2 linked regions of the Stegostoma tigrinum genome follow. The protein of the gene in region 1 interacts with the protein of each later gene in a pairwise test. Links are inferred from orthologs where the notes say so. Each region holds a gene or a part of one and is shown on either strand. Other genes may lie near its edges.

The links. The genes of interacting proteins can lie anywhere in the genome.
Region 2: the proteins of kifbp (region 1) and docking protein 2-like interact in a two-hybrid assay, tested with the Homo sapiens proteins (2 studies listed by BioGRID and IntAct). The two-hybrid records come from large-scale screens. The link is inferred for Stegostoma tigrinum from reciprocal best matches to the Homo sapiens genes KIFBP and DOK2.

Annotation. Positions count from the first base shown.
Region 1 is NC_081373.1:57,846,737-57,854,175, reverse strand, and holds the start of kifbp (KIF-binding protein), read left to right. Parts: upstream 1-4,374; 5' UTR 4,375-4,397; coding exon 4,398-4,751; intron 4,752-7,439. UniProt on the Homo sapiens protein: Activator of KIF1B plus-end-directed microtubule motor activity. Required for organization of axonal microtubules, and axonal outgrowth and maintenance during peripheral and central nervous system development.
Region 2 is NC_081393.1:2,333,483-2,340,520, forward strand, and holds the start of docking protein 2-like, read left to right. Parts: upstream 1-3,990; 5' UTR 3,991-4,281; coding exon 4,282-4,341; intron 4,342-7,038. UniProt on the Homo sapiens protein: DOK proteins are enzymatically inert adaptor or scaffolding proteins. They provide a docking platform for the assembly of multimolecular signaling complexes. DOK2 may modulate the cellular proliferation induced by IL-4, as well as IL-2 and IL-3.

The sequences.
Region 1 (7,439 bases):
TTTCAGTACCCTTTGTTGCTGCCTCTAGTTGCCATATAAGCCCTGTCTAACCTGCCTCCTCTGCAAGAGAATGCTGTTGTTTTCCTCTTTTCTCGATCTATGGCCCATATACATCACTATTACATGCTCTTTAATTTAAAAGCTTCAGCTGCAGCTTTATGAAAATAGGGTTCACTTCTTTGTGCTCCTTGACAATTAAAATTTCCTTTGAGGAAGAACCAGAATGTTTTCAATGTTAGGTCAAGGGTTTGTCAAAGAATTCTTCACTTCTGAGAGGCTCCTATTATTTAAATTACAAAACATTCAAGCAACATCTCCAAAACAGCAAAATTTAACCTTTTGGCTCCTTTGTCCTGCCCTCCATGTTTGTTGTCTTCTGACCAAAGTTCCAAACTCAGCAGAATAGGTGACCCATAATTCTGGGGGAGTAAAGTCTATACCTTTCGGTGGATAGCATTATTGGGACATTACTGGTAAAATAGCTGTGACTCAGTTAAAGGAAAAAATATTATTGGATGTGGTGGATATTATAGCTTTGGTGCATCCAAGCAGGATTGATTATTCATGACTAACTTAATAGTGTAAAAGTAATCAGTTACTCCAAACACCGAATCAAAATTACAAAATAGCAGCAGACAATATTTCCAAATGTTTCATGATTTTAAACCAAGGATTAAAATCAAGCCTAAGTTATAAATTTTTACATGCCAATGGAGAAAAGCATAATTGTAGTCAACTCTACTGTTACTCTTTGGATTAGCTAAAGACTCTAGAATGAAATCCATCAGGATCTGAGGGCTTTTCAGCTTCTCATTCTAATAATTTCTTAGTATTCCTTCCTTGGGTGATTGAATTGTTTTTAAGATACTCCATCTCTTTCATTCTTTGATTTGCAATTATTCCTGGAATGTTAGTCATAAGCAAAATAACTGTTCAATTGTCTGTCATTTTCCAACTTGATTATTTCCAGAGGACCACCGCTGACACATGCTTTTCCTTTTTAAATATCTGTCTGGACTATTTTGATATTTCTCACTAGTTTTATCATGTACTGTAATTTCTCCCTTTTCTCAGTTATTCTTTGTTCATGTTCTGTCCAGTCTTCTGACCATGATCTTTACTGAATTGTAGATATTTTCTACAAATATGCATTTCATGTTTTTGCACACCTCGGAAGTAGTTGGGACTTGAACGTAGGCCTCCTGGCTTAGAGGTAGGGGCACTGCACACTGCATTAGAACAGCCCCTCTTCACAGAACTGCATTTTTTTCTTTCAATTTTGATACAATCTTTAACTACTTTGATTAGTTAAGGATGGTGTTTCATTTCTCTCGAGTCTTTCTCACTGGAATGGCTATCTTGAATGTTATGTCTGCAATTTCATCTCCACTTATCTGTACTCTAACTTCTCTCTTTTTTTCCAGGCTCTGTCTTCATACCCTTATAACTGCCCAATTTAAGTTTAAAACACTGCAGTCTTGGATACATTCTTCTCTCCCTCAAGACCAGAATTAAATCATTATAATCACTGATACCCAAGTGTACATTCCCTATGTGATTATAAATTAATCCTATCCCGTTGCACATCTGATCGAGTATAGCCTGTTCTCTGGTTAGCTCTAATTCATGCTGCTCTAAGAAACAGTTCTGAAACGTACTGAGCTCATCTCCCAGGCTACCATTTTCACTAATTCGGCTCATCTATATGTAGCTGAAAACCACCCAGGTTATTGACATTAACTTTCTCAAACTACCCATTATTTCTTTACTATTTCTTTACTCCCATCCTACGGTATGGTTATTTTTAAGAAGAATATAAAATGCTCCTACAAGTGACTTCTGACCTCTACTATTATATGTCTACCAAAAATGATTTTATATCTTTCTGTTTAGAACTAAGGTCAAGTCTTTCAATTGTACGGATCTACCTTTTCTTGACTTCATGCCCTTCCAAAAAATGTTGCGAATCCTTGTATATTCAGGTTTCAGCCTTTGCTGTCTAGCAGCCAGATCTTTGTAGCGGCTATTCAGTCATACAAATTACATCTATTAGAGCAGTCATAGAGAGGTCAGGCATGGAAACAGACCCTTTTATCCATGCTGACCAAATATCCTAAATTAATTTAGTCCCATTTGCCAATATTAGGCTTAGGAGAGCTATAAGGGGACATGAGAAAACCTTGGCAGATAGGATCAAGGAAAACTCCAAGGCTTTTTACACGTACATGATGAATAAGAGAATGACCAGACAGGGTAGGGCCGAGCAAGGATTGTAAGGGGAATTTGTGCACAGAGCCTAAAGAGATAGGAGAGTTCATTAATGAATATTTTTCTTCGGTATTCATAACCGAGAGGTACCTAGTTGGAGGAGAGGGCTGTGAAACAGTCTGGTAGGCTAGAGGAGGTCAGTGTTAGTAAGGAAGATGTACTAGGAATTTTGAGGAACTTGAAGATAGATAAGTCCCCTGGGCCTGATGGGATTTATCCAAGGATTCTGTGGGAAGCGAGGGACGAGATCGCAGGGCCTTTGATGATTTTTTTCAACCTCACTGTCCACGGGTATAATGCTGGGAGATATTAGAGTGGCAAATGTCATTCCCTTATTCAAGAAAGGGAATAGGGATAATCCTAGAAACTACAGGCCAGTTAGTCCTACTTCAGTGGTGGGCAAATTATTGGAAAGGGCTCTGAGAGATAGGATTCATGATCACTTGGATAGGCACCGTTTGATTCGTGATGGTCAGCATAGCTTTATGAGGGGTAGATCCATGCCTCTCAAACGTTATTGAATTCTTTGAAGAGGTGACCAAACACATGGATGAAGGTAGAGCAGTGAATGCGTTTGATAAGGTTCCCCATGGTAGGCTCAAGCAGCAAGTAAGAAAGCATGGGATAGGGGAAATGTGGTAGATTCAATTCAGAATTGGCTGACGCTTAGAAGACAAAGGGTGGTAATGGATGGAAAATATTCAACATGGTGCTCAATTACGATTGGTGGACCACAAGGATCTGTTCTGGGTCCGCTTCTATTTGTGATTTTTGCAAATGATTTGGATGTAGGAGTGGAAGGGTGGATTAGTAAGTTTGCGGACGATACAAGGGTGGGTCCAGTTGTGGATATGGCAGAGGGCTGTTCGAGGTTAGAAATAGGCAGTGATAGGATACAGGGCTGGGCTGAGAAGTGGCAAATGGAGTTTAACCCTGAAAAGTGTGAGGTGATTCATTTTGGAAAGACAAACTTCAAAGCCGAATACAAGGTTAACAGAACGATTCTTGGCAGTGTGGAGGAGCAGAGGGAACTTGGGGTACACATCCACAATTCCCTGAAAGCTGCCACCCAGGCGGATAAGAGTTGTTAAGGTGTATGGTGTGTAAACTTTCATTAACAGAGGGACTGAATTCAAGAGCCTTGAAGTTCTGTTCCAGCTTTACAAAAGCCTGGCTCGGCTACATCTGGAATATTGTGTCCACTTCTGGTTGCCTTGTAACAGGAATGATGTGGAAGCTTTGGAAAAGGTGCAGAGGAGATTTACCAGGATGTTGCCTGGAATGGAGGGAAGGTCTTACGAGGAAAGGTTGAGAGAGCTAGGGCTTTTCTCTTTAGAACGATGAAGAATAAGAGGTGACTTGATAGAGGTGTACAAGATGATCAGAGGTATAGATAGACAGCCAAAGTCTTTTTCCTAGGATGGAGGTAGCTATTGTGAGGGGGCATAGTTTTAAAGTGAGTGGAGGTAGATACAGAGGAGACGTCAGAGGTAGGGTCCTTGCTCAGAGTGGTCGGGGTGTGGAATGTGGTGTCAGACAGGGTAATGGAGTTGGTCTCATTAGGGGCATTTAAGTGGCTATTAGATAGGCATACGGATGATAGTATAAGGTAGGGGTGTAAGTTAGATAGGCCTGAGGATTAGGGGAAAAGTATGGCGTAACATCATGGGCCAAAGGGCCTGTACTTGAAAGACACATGGTGACCCTCAGTCTCAAAATTCTTCTTACTGTATTAAAGTGCACCACTGTAGCGCCCATCGACACAAACTATGCAGCACTTCGTTTTTTTAAAACTGCAACACTGGATTTTAGGTTATAGCAAGCCAACTTGCATTTCAGTTTCAAAAAAAAGGAAAACGTGGTCCCTTACACAAAAAACACAATTATCCGTCTGATTTTGTCTGCCCCTTAACAGTTTGATTGTGGCTCAGGTAATAAGCTACTAATCGAGGTACTGCTTTTCAATTTAACCACTAACCCTTTTATAATCCCTCAGCGAAGCCGCTTTCCTGCTCTGGGGCTTAGATGCAGCAGTCTCCCCTCCTGGCCGCCGGAAGGCGCTGTCTTTGAAGTCTGCAGTGCTTTCCGCATTCGGCGGAGGGCAGTGCTGCCCTGTAATTACGGGTAAAATGGCGGCGCAGGAAGGCGGCCTTGACAGGGCTCTGAGCGTGAGATACTCCCGGGCATTGAGGCTGTCGGAGGTAGAGTCGAAGCGGGACCCTGAGTCGGAGCCTTATCGCTCCAAGTACAAGGCTCGGGAACTGCTGAAGGAGCTGAAAGCATCGTTGGGGCCGCGGGACGATGAGCCGCTCCAGGCTGGAGACTGGCTGCAGAAAGCGGCGGTGCTCGAGCTGCAGCTCGGCCTCAACCACACGGAGACAGAGGAGCTGTCCGCCGGTGAGGAGCACCTGGCCAAGTGCATCCAGATCCTGGAACCCTTCAGGCTTAGCCCCGGGGGCGTGTCCGTCTTCCTCCAGGCCGAGGTGAGGAGGCAGCGCAGGTCTCCTGGCAACCGGAACCTGGGGGACGCAAACACAACCCCGACATGGGGCAGGTCCCTGAGATCACCCCCACAATCGGAGGATGGCATTGGACAAGGAGAGCAGAGGTTGCGGGGGTTAGGCAGGGGCGATAGGGAGGATGGGAGGTGAGGGAGCGTGACAGCCGTTTCCTGCAGTCAGTCAGACAGGGATAGGGCCAGGGATAATGGGAACTGCAGATGCTGGAGAGTCCAAGAAAATAAAATGTGAGGCTGGATGAACACAGCAGGCCAAGCAGCATCTCAGGAGCACAAAAGCTGACGTTTCGGGCCTAGACCCTTCATCAGAGACGGGGATGGGGTGAGTGTTCTGGAATAAATAAATACATCACCGAGGCCAGACGCCAACTCTCCGACACCACCTCGACCCGCCCGCTCGATCATGACCCCACACCCAAGCACCAAACCGTCATCTCCCACACTATTCATGACCTCATCACCTCAGGGGACCTCCCACCCACAGCCTCCAACCTCATTGTTCCCCAACCCCGCACGGCCCGTTTCTATCTCCTTCCCAAAATCCACAAACCTGCCTGCCCTGGTCGACCCATCGTCTCAGCCTGCTCCTGCCCTACCGAACTCATCTCCACCTATCTGGACTCCATTTTCTATCCTTTGGTCCAGGAACTCTCTACCTACGTCCGTGACACCACCCACGCCCTCCACCTCCTCCAGGACTTCCAATTCCCTGGCCCCCAACACCTCATCTTCACCATGGACGTCCAGTCCCTATACACCTGTATTCCGCATGCAGATGGCCTCAAGGCCCTCCGCTTCTTCCTGTCCCGCAGGCCCGGCCAGTCCCCCTCCACCGACACCCTCATCCGCCTTGCCGAACTTGTCCTCATCCTCAACAACTTCTCTTTCGATTCCTCCCACTTCCTACAGACTAAGGGGGTGGCCATGGGCACCCGCATGGGCCCCAGCTATGCCTGCCTCTTTGTAGGTTACGTGGACCAGTCCCTCTTCCGCACCTACACAGGCCCCAAACCCCACCTCTTCCTCCGTTACATTGATGACTGTATCGGCGCCGCCCCTTGCTCCCCAGAGGAGCTCGAACAGTTCATCGACTTCGCCAACACCTTCCACCCCAACCTTCAGTTCCCTGGGCCATCTCCAGCACATCCCTCACCTTCCTGGATCTCTCAGTCTCCATCTCAGGCAACCAGCTTGTAACTGATGTCCATTTCAAGCCCACCGACTCCCACAGCTACGTAGCATACACTTCCTCCCACCTACCCTCCTGCAAAAATTCTATCCTCTATTCCCAATTCCACCGCCTCCGCCGCATCTGCTCCCACGATGAGGCATTCCACTCCCGCACATCCCAGATGTCCAAGTTCTTGAAGGACCGCAACTTTCCCCCCACAGTGGTTGAGAACGCCCTTGACCGCGTCTCCCGCATTTCCCGCAACACATCCCTCACGCCCCACCCCCGCCACAACCGCCCAAAGAGGATCCCCCTCGTTCTCACACACCACCCCACCAACCTCCAGATACAACGCATCATCCTCCGACACTTCCGCCATCTACAATTGGACCCCACCACCCAAGACATTTTTCCAGCCCCACCCCTGTCTGCTTTCCCGAGAGACCACTCGCTCCACACTGCCCTCCAACCCCACCACACCCAGCACCTTTCCCTGCAACCGCAGGAAATGCTACACTTGCCCCCACACCTCCTCTCTCACCCCATCCCAGGCCCCAAGATGACTGTCCACATTAAGCAGAGGTTCACCTGCACATCTGCCAATGTGGTATACTGCATCCACTGTACCCAGTGTGGCTACCTCTACATTGGGGAAACCAAGCGGAGGCTTGGGGACCACTTTGCAGAACACCTCCGCTCGGTTCGCAATAAACAACTGCACCTCCCAGTCGCAAACCATTTCCACTCCCCCTCCCATTCTTTAGGTGACATGTCCATCATGGGCCTCCTGCAGTGCCACAATGATGCCACCCGAAGGTTGCAGGAACAGCAACTCATATTCCACTTGGGAACCCTGCAGCCCAATGGTATCAATGTGGACTTCACCAGCTTCAAAATCTCCCCTTCCCCCACCGCTTCCCAAAACCAGCCCAGTTCGTCCTCTCCTCCCCACTGCACCACACAACCAGCCCAGCTCTTCCCCTCCACCCACTGCATCCCAAAACCAGTCCAACCTGTCTCTGCCTCCCTAACCTGTTCTTCCTCTCACCCATCCCTTCCTCCCACCCCAAGCTGCACCTCCATCTCCTACCTACTAACCTCATCCCACCTCCTTGACCTGTCCGTCTTCCCTAGACTGACCTATCCCCTCCCTACCTCCCCACCTATACTCTCCTCCCCACCTATCTTCTTTACTCTCCATCTTCGGTCCGCCTCCCCCTCTTTCCCTATTTATTCCAGTTCCCCCACCCCATCCCCCTCTCTGATGAAGGGTCTAGGCCCGAAACGTCAGGTTTTGTGCTCCTGAGATGCTGCTTGGCCTGCTGTGTTCATCCAGCCTCACATTTTATTATCAGGGATAGGGCCAGGGCTTGCAGGGTGTGGTTCAGGAGGGGACCAGATAGTGGACAGGGCTAGAACCCATGCAGGTACCCATTGCGACACATTTTATTAAAGAAGGTGAATGGAATCACAAGAGAAGTT
Region 2 (7,038 bases), on another chromosome or scaffold:
GCAGGGTTACATGGATAGGTTAATGGGGGTGTGTCTGGGTGGGATGATCTTTGGAGGGCTTGGTGTAAACTCAATGGGCCAAATGGCCAGCTTCCACACTGCAGGGATTCTGTGATAATTCTATTGGCGAATTGGCCATTAATGGCAACATGTTCCATGGATCATTCTGGGTGATCACAGTCACGAGCTGGTGAGGGTGAGGTTCTCAGTTCCCATCAACATGTATTCGCAACAAAAGCAGAAATCTCAGCAGGTCTGGCACCACCTGCAGAGAGAAATCGAGTCCAGTAACCCTTCTGCAGAACTGATTGTAGGTGGGGAACCAGTGAGCGTACAAGGCACGGGGAACGGGGTTGGGGAGAGGGGGTAATTAAATGATGGGTGGAGTTGAAGTACAGAGAGAGTGGGGGGAGGGGGCGAGAGAGAGAGAGAGAGGAGTGGGTAAAGGTCAGCCTGGGGGAATCAATGGCTGCTAATGCTGTTCTGAAGTCAATATTGGGTTTGATCATTTTAGGACCCGAACACTTTCTTCCATATCCTTACCTGAACTCCCACACACCAAGCCTTATCAACACACATGCTGCTACTGCAAACAGCCCATGATTAGATTAGATTCCCTACAGCTTGGAAACGGGCCTTTCGGCCCAACAAGTCCACACTGCCCCTTGAAGCATCCCACCCAGACCCATCCCCCTATAACGCACACACCCCTGAACACTACGGGCAATTTAGCATGGCCGATCCACCTAGCCTGTACATCTTTGAACTGTGGGAGGAAACCGGAGCACCCGGAGGAAACCCACACAGGCACATGGAGAATGTGCAAACTCCGCACAGAGAGTCGCCTGAGGGTGGAATCGAACGCGGGTCCCTGGTACTGTGAGGCTGCAGCGCTAACCACTGAGCCACCGTGCCACCCCTAACCACTGAGCCACCGTGCCGCCCCTGACCACTGAGCCACCGTGCCGCCCCGAACCACTGAGCCACCGTGCCGCCCCGAACCACTGAGCCACCGTGCCACCTCTAACCACTGAGCCACCGTGCCACCCCGAACCACTGAGCCACCGTGCCACCCCGAACCACTGAGCCACCATGCCACCTCTAACCACTGAGCCACCGTGCCGCCCCGAACCACTGAGCCACCGTGCTGCCCCGAACCACTGAGCCACCGTGCTGCCCCGAACACTGAGCCACCGTGCCACCCCAAACCACTGAGCCACCGTGCCACCTAGGTGTTAGCTACTACTGGTCCCTGTTGGCAGCAATTGATTCCCCACATCCATGTGTTTGTTCTCTCTCTCGCTGGCCTCTTTCTCCATCACTTCTCAATCACTCCTCATCTCCTGCATTTTTTTTACCAATTTTATCCTCAGCCAATCAGTTCTGTAGAAGTCACTCGACCGAAACCATTAACTTTGCTTTATCTTCACAGATGCCACCAGCTCTGCTAAAATTTCCAAGCCATTTCTAATTCCCAGGATCTGCAGTTCTTGAAGTTATTTTGTATATCATCTATTTGTACTGACCTAGTGTGTGCAGACAGGGTTTCAGGTTGCTCACAAGACTGTTAAAGGTGGAAGCCTTTCTAAATGAGACTTCTTTTGAGCCGCACTTGGCTCTCAAATCTTCATCTGGGTAGAAGTCACAATGTCAAAATGTCATCAGTGGTTCCAAAAAGGCTTGTGTTTCTGTAAGTTACACCAGGTATAGTTTTTGAGACCCTGTTGGATGAGACGTTCTCACTGGACTTCCCAAAATGTTGCAACAACACTGTGTCTATGTTGGAGAATAATGTGTGGTCAATATGCAAAGGTTGATTTGAGGGTTCCTGTGAAATACCCTATTACAATGTGCAGTCAGACTTTAATGGGACTACCTCCAGTCCATAATGGTGCCTGGTTCTTTGCTACAGAGTGAACAAGGGCCATCATTGATGTTTGAAGTTCCAATGCTAATGCTGTCCACTTTGAGGACATGCTAAATTCCTCCTGAAATATAGCTCCTTCAATTCAGTGTCTTCTAAAGCTTGCAGGTCCTCTACACTTTGGACCCGACCAGCAGGATGCAGAAACCATGCTTGGTAGACCACCCATCACTGACTTTTGCAACCAACAATCAGGCACCTCAAAGACACGATTGAATGGTGAAGCAGACTCGATGGGCTGAGTAGCCTAATTTCTGCTCCTATGTCTCATAGTCGAATGCAGCTTTTGTTTAAAATAACTTGCACGAAGGTCACATCTTTCCCACCGTAGGAGAAGCCTGAAGCAAACAGCTGAGGCACTTTGCAAGGGAAATGAGATACTTATGTGACAATGAGAAGGCAGAGAAAGAAAAGTGGCAACTCTGAGCAGAGAATGGTTGAGCAACGAGTATAATACCATCATAGACGAATGGGCCAAATGGCCTGTCTCACTGCTGTATGGTCCAGGAATTTCCATGAAGTCAAAGATGTCCCAGAGTACTTTGCAGCTTGTGCAATAATTTCAAACCATTGTCACTTTTACATGCAGGTTTAGGTTATATTGAATTGAAATATTCCTTGCGGTAACAAGCATGGGTTGCAGTTTACTGTTTGCTGCCAGATGGAGGCAGGCCTTAACCTGGTTTAAAAATTCCCAGTTTTAAGCTCTGCTGAAACTTCACACTGTCAGAAGCACAGAGCTGGACCAGCAAACGTTGCTGACGGTAACATCAACTCAACTGTGAAAGGAATGACACAGGGCTGGTTAGCCCACCAGGTGCATGCCAGTATTTCAGCTTGAGGAGAAGCCTTCTCCGAGCCCTCTTCACCTCATCCCAGCAATGAATCCATATGACCATAAGACAGTAGAGCAGAATCAGACCATTCAGCCCATCGAGACTGTTATGCCATTTGATCATGGCCGATATGTTTCTCAACCCTATTGTCCTGCCTTATCCCCATAACCCTTGAGCCCCTTACGAAAAACACTCAATGACTTTGCCTAAGGCAATCAGTTCCCTTGAATAACCACCCTCTGGCTGAAGAAATTCCTCCTCATCTCAGTTTTAGAGGCTGTCCTTTTTCTCTAAGGCTGGAACCTTGGTTACTAGCCTCACTTACTTGTGCAAACATCTTCCCTGTGTCCACTCTATCGAGGCTCCCTCAGTATTCTGTTAATTTCAAGCAGATCCTCTGCCATCCCTCTAAACTCCATCAAGGACAGAACCAGAGCCCTAAACCACTCCCCAAAAGTCAAGCCCTTCATCTCCAGGATCATTCTAGAGAACCCCCCCAGACCAAATGCAAAGCCTGTAATTCCTTACTTGATATGGAGCGTAAAAGTGCCCACAATATTTTGAATGCAGTCTAATAAGAGCCTTGTACAGCCTGAGCATTACATCCTCGCTCTTGAATTCTAGCCCTCTTGAAATGAATGCCAACTTGCATTTGTCTTCCTAACTTCCAAAGGACCTGCATGTTAACCCGAGCGGGATCCTGAACGAGGACTCCTAAATCTCTTTGCGTTACAGACTTGCAAAGCTTTTCTCATTCATAAAACAGTCTCTGCAGCTATTCCTTCTGCCAAAGTGCATAATCTCAGACTTCCACGTTGTATTCCATCCGTCAGTTTTCCCACCCGCCTGGCCTGCCCAGGTCCTTCGGCGGTCGCCACCACTTCCCCGACCAGACCTGTCCCTCCACCTAACCTTGTATCCCTCAGCTCCCTTCTCCTTCGGCTCTTCATTCAGCTTTCACTTCAACTCACAAAAGCAAAATACCACAAGCACAGGGAATAGGAAGTAAAAACATGAAGTGCTGGAAGTCATCAGCTATTCAAGCCAGCCTGTTTGGAGAGAGAAGCGGAGTTTAATGATCAGACGTCATCGAAACTGAGGAACGGCAGAACTGTGCTAAACTCAAGAAAAGTGAAAGAGGAACAAGCAAGAGCCAGCAATGGGCAGGGGAGGGAAACTCACAGAGATTAATTGTCATGCAAATTGCTATCAATCCATCTACAGCTTTCGACTCAGCGAGTCCTGTGATAGTGAGTTCCACCTTCTCATCACTGTCAGGGTATGAGAGTGCACCAGTTTCTCTTTGACTGTGTTGGAGACGATGCTCCACCTGCGGCCACTTGATGCACTGTGTCTCGGATGTGCTGCAAGTTTGGTTTTGGGGTGTGAGAGCCGGGTGCGAGGGGACGGCGCTGGCTCGAACTCCAACCTCCAGTGACACTGCTGAAGCACAGCGAAGCCACAGTCCCTGAGCTCGTAGTGCCTGACATACCCGCACTGGCACACGACGATGAACTTAAAATGGAAGAGGCCATAAAACAGGGAGTACTTCACGTGCAGATGCAACAGAAATTTGGAAAGGTAAAAGACACCTTTGAAAATGTTTTTTTTGGAGAGTGGGGCTGGTAATTTGAGTCGGGGGGACTCGGGCTTTAATTTGGCATTTGGAGATACTCATCCTGAGTTATTTCACCGAGTTTCCTGCTTAAGCACCTCTTTCTGAATCTTCTGTAGCTTCGCTTCATTGAAATGAGGCACATTAGTATGATTCAAATGCAGCAGTGCTCAGTTCCGGGCATAAAGAAACAGAGAACTGATCTGTCAAATCCCCATGTGCTACAGAGTCGAAAACAGATTTCTACAAAGTTACAGAAGAAAAACACGGGTGCTAATTTACAAAAGGCAAGGTTCCAAAACTGGCTCTCTGATGAAGGGTCTAGGCCCGAAACATCAGCTTTTGTGTTCCTGAGATGCTGCTGGGCCTGCTGTGTTCATCCAGCTCCACACTTTGTTATCTTGGATTCCCCAGCATCTGCAGTTCCCATTATCACTGTTCCAAAACTGACACCCGGTTTCCTTCATCTAAGCAATTCTGCTATCTACGTCCATCATAAAAACATAGAACATAGAACATTACAGCACAGTACAGGCCCTTTGGCCCTCGATGTTGTGTCAACCTGTCATACCAATCTCAAGCCCATCTAACCTACACTATTCCATGTACGTCCATATGCTTGTGCAATGACGACTTAAATGTACCTAAAGTTGGCGAATCTACTACCGTTGCAAAAGGCAGACAAAAAGGAGTCGAGGCCCGGAGCGTCAGCCTGCCTACTCCTCTGATGCTGCTTGGCCTGCTGTGTTCATCCAGCTTCACACTTTTGTTATCTCAGATTCTCCAGCAGCTGCAGTTCCTGCTCTCTCTGAGACAAGGCATCAGTTTCATTTCTAATCTCAAAACAGCCACTTCACCAGTGACCCTCTGACAGTGCGGCACTCCCTCAGCACTGACCCTCCGACAGTGCGGCGCTCCCTCAGCACTGACCCTCCGACAGTGCAGCACTCCCTCAGTACTGACCATCTGACAGTGCGGCACTCCCTCAGCACTGACCCCTCTGACAGTGCGGTGCTCCCTCAGCACTGACCCTCCGACAGTGCGGCGCTCCCTCAGCACTGACCCTCCGACACTGCGGCGCTCCCTCAGCACTGACCCTCCGACACTGCGGCGCTCCCTCAGCACTGACCCTCCGACAGTGCGGCGCTCCCTCAGCACTGACCCTCCGACAGTGCGGCGCTCCCTCAGTACTGACCATCTGACAGTGCGGCGCTCCCTCAGCACTGACCCCTCTGACAGTGCGGCGCTCCCTCAGCACTGACCCCTCTGACAGTGCGGCACTCCCTCAGCACTGACCCTCCGACAGTGCGGCACTCCCTCAGCACTGACCCCTCTGACAGTGCAGCACTCCCTCAGCACTGACCATCTGACAGTGCGGCACTCCCTCAGCACTGACCCTCTGACAGTGTTACGCTCCCTCAGTACTGACCATCTGACAGTGCGGCGCTCCCTCAGTACTGACCCTCCGACAGTGCGGCGCTCCCTCAGTCTTGCACTGTCATGCCTGGTTCTGGCCTCAAGTCTGTGAAGTGGATTTGGACTCTCAAGATGCTTTTCCAAACTGGCATGTTCATGGCAATTACTTTGTCCTAATTATGTTAAAATATCTCAGCCTTGATGTGAAGAGCAGTGTACAATTCCATGTGAGACTGAAGTGTTCAGAGCATGTGAACATGCCCCTCACAGGTCGTTCTGCTCAATCTGTTTCTGTTGAGTTGCCTAGAAAAGCTTGTGATGCCTTCTGCTGCTTTTCTGTTCATTGTTGACAAAAACTGGAGCCTTTGAAATGAGTGCAGGAGCCTTACTTCAGTGCAAGTCTCCTCAATAGACAGGATAGTATGAAAAAACACAGCACAGTGAAGACAGATTTGCGCTTTGTCCAATGTTGCTCATGCCAATGGAGCACAATATCCATTGGGACAAAAGGATGGCATTTGCCATTGCCATCTCCCAGCCCTTTTCCTGTGTGCACAGCAAGGTTAAACATGCGCCACTGGGTCTGAAGCAGAGTATTCAAATCCAGGCCTTTCCCTCTTGCTGCACCCAATGTGTCACAGCTTCTCCCTCATCCCATCTGTTCTCAGAATTATTCTTTGGCTTTATTACACTCTCTCACATATCCACACAATCGTGCACACTCTCTCACACATACACATAATCCTACACGCTCTCTCACACACAGACACAATCATACATGCTCTCCCACACATCCACACAAGCGTACACGCTCTCCCACACATCCACACAAGCGTACACGCTCTCCCACACATCCACACAAGCGTACACGCTCTCCCACACATCCACACAAGCGTACACGCTCTCCCACACATCCACACAAGCGTACACGCTCTCCCACACATACACACAATCGTACACGCTCTCTCACACATACACACAATTGTACACGTTCTCCCACACATCCACACAAGCGTACACTCTCTCTCACACATCCACATAATCGTACACGCTCTCCCACACATACACACAATCATACATGCCCTTTCACACATACACACAATCATACATGCTCTCTCACACATCCATACAATCATACACTTTCTCTCACACATACACACAAGCGTACACTCTCTCTCACACATCCACACAAGCGTACACTCTCACACATACACACAATCATACACTCTCTCTCACACATCCACACA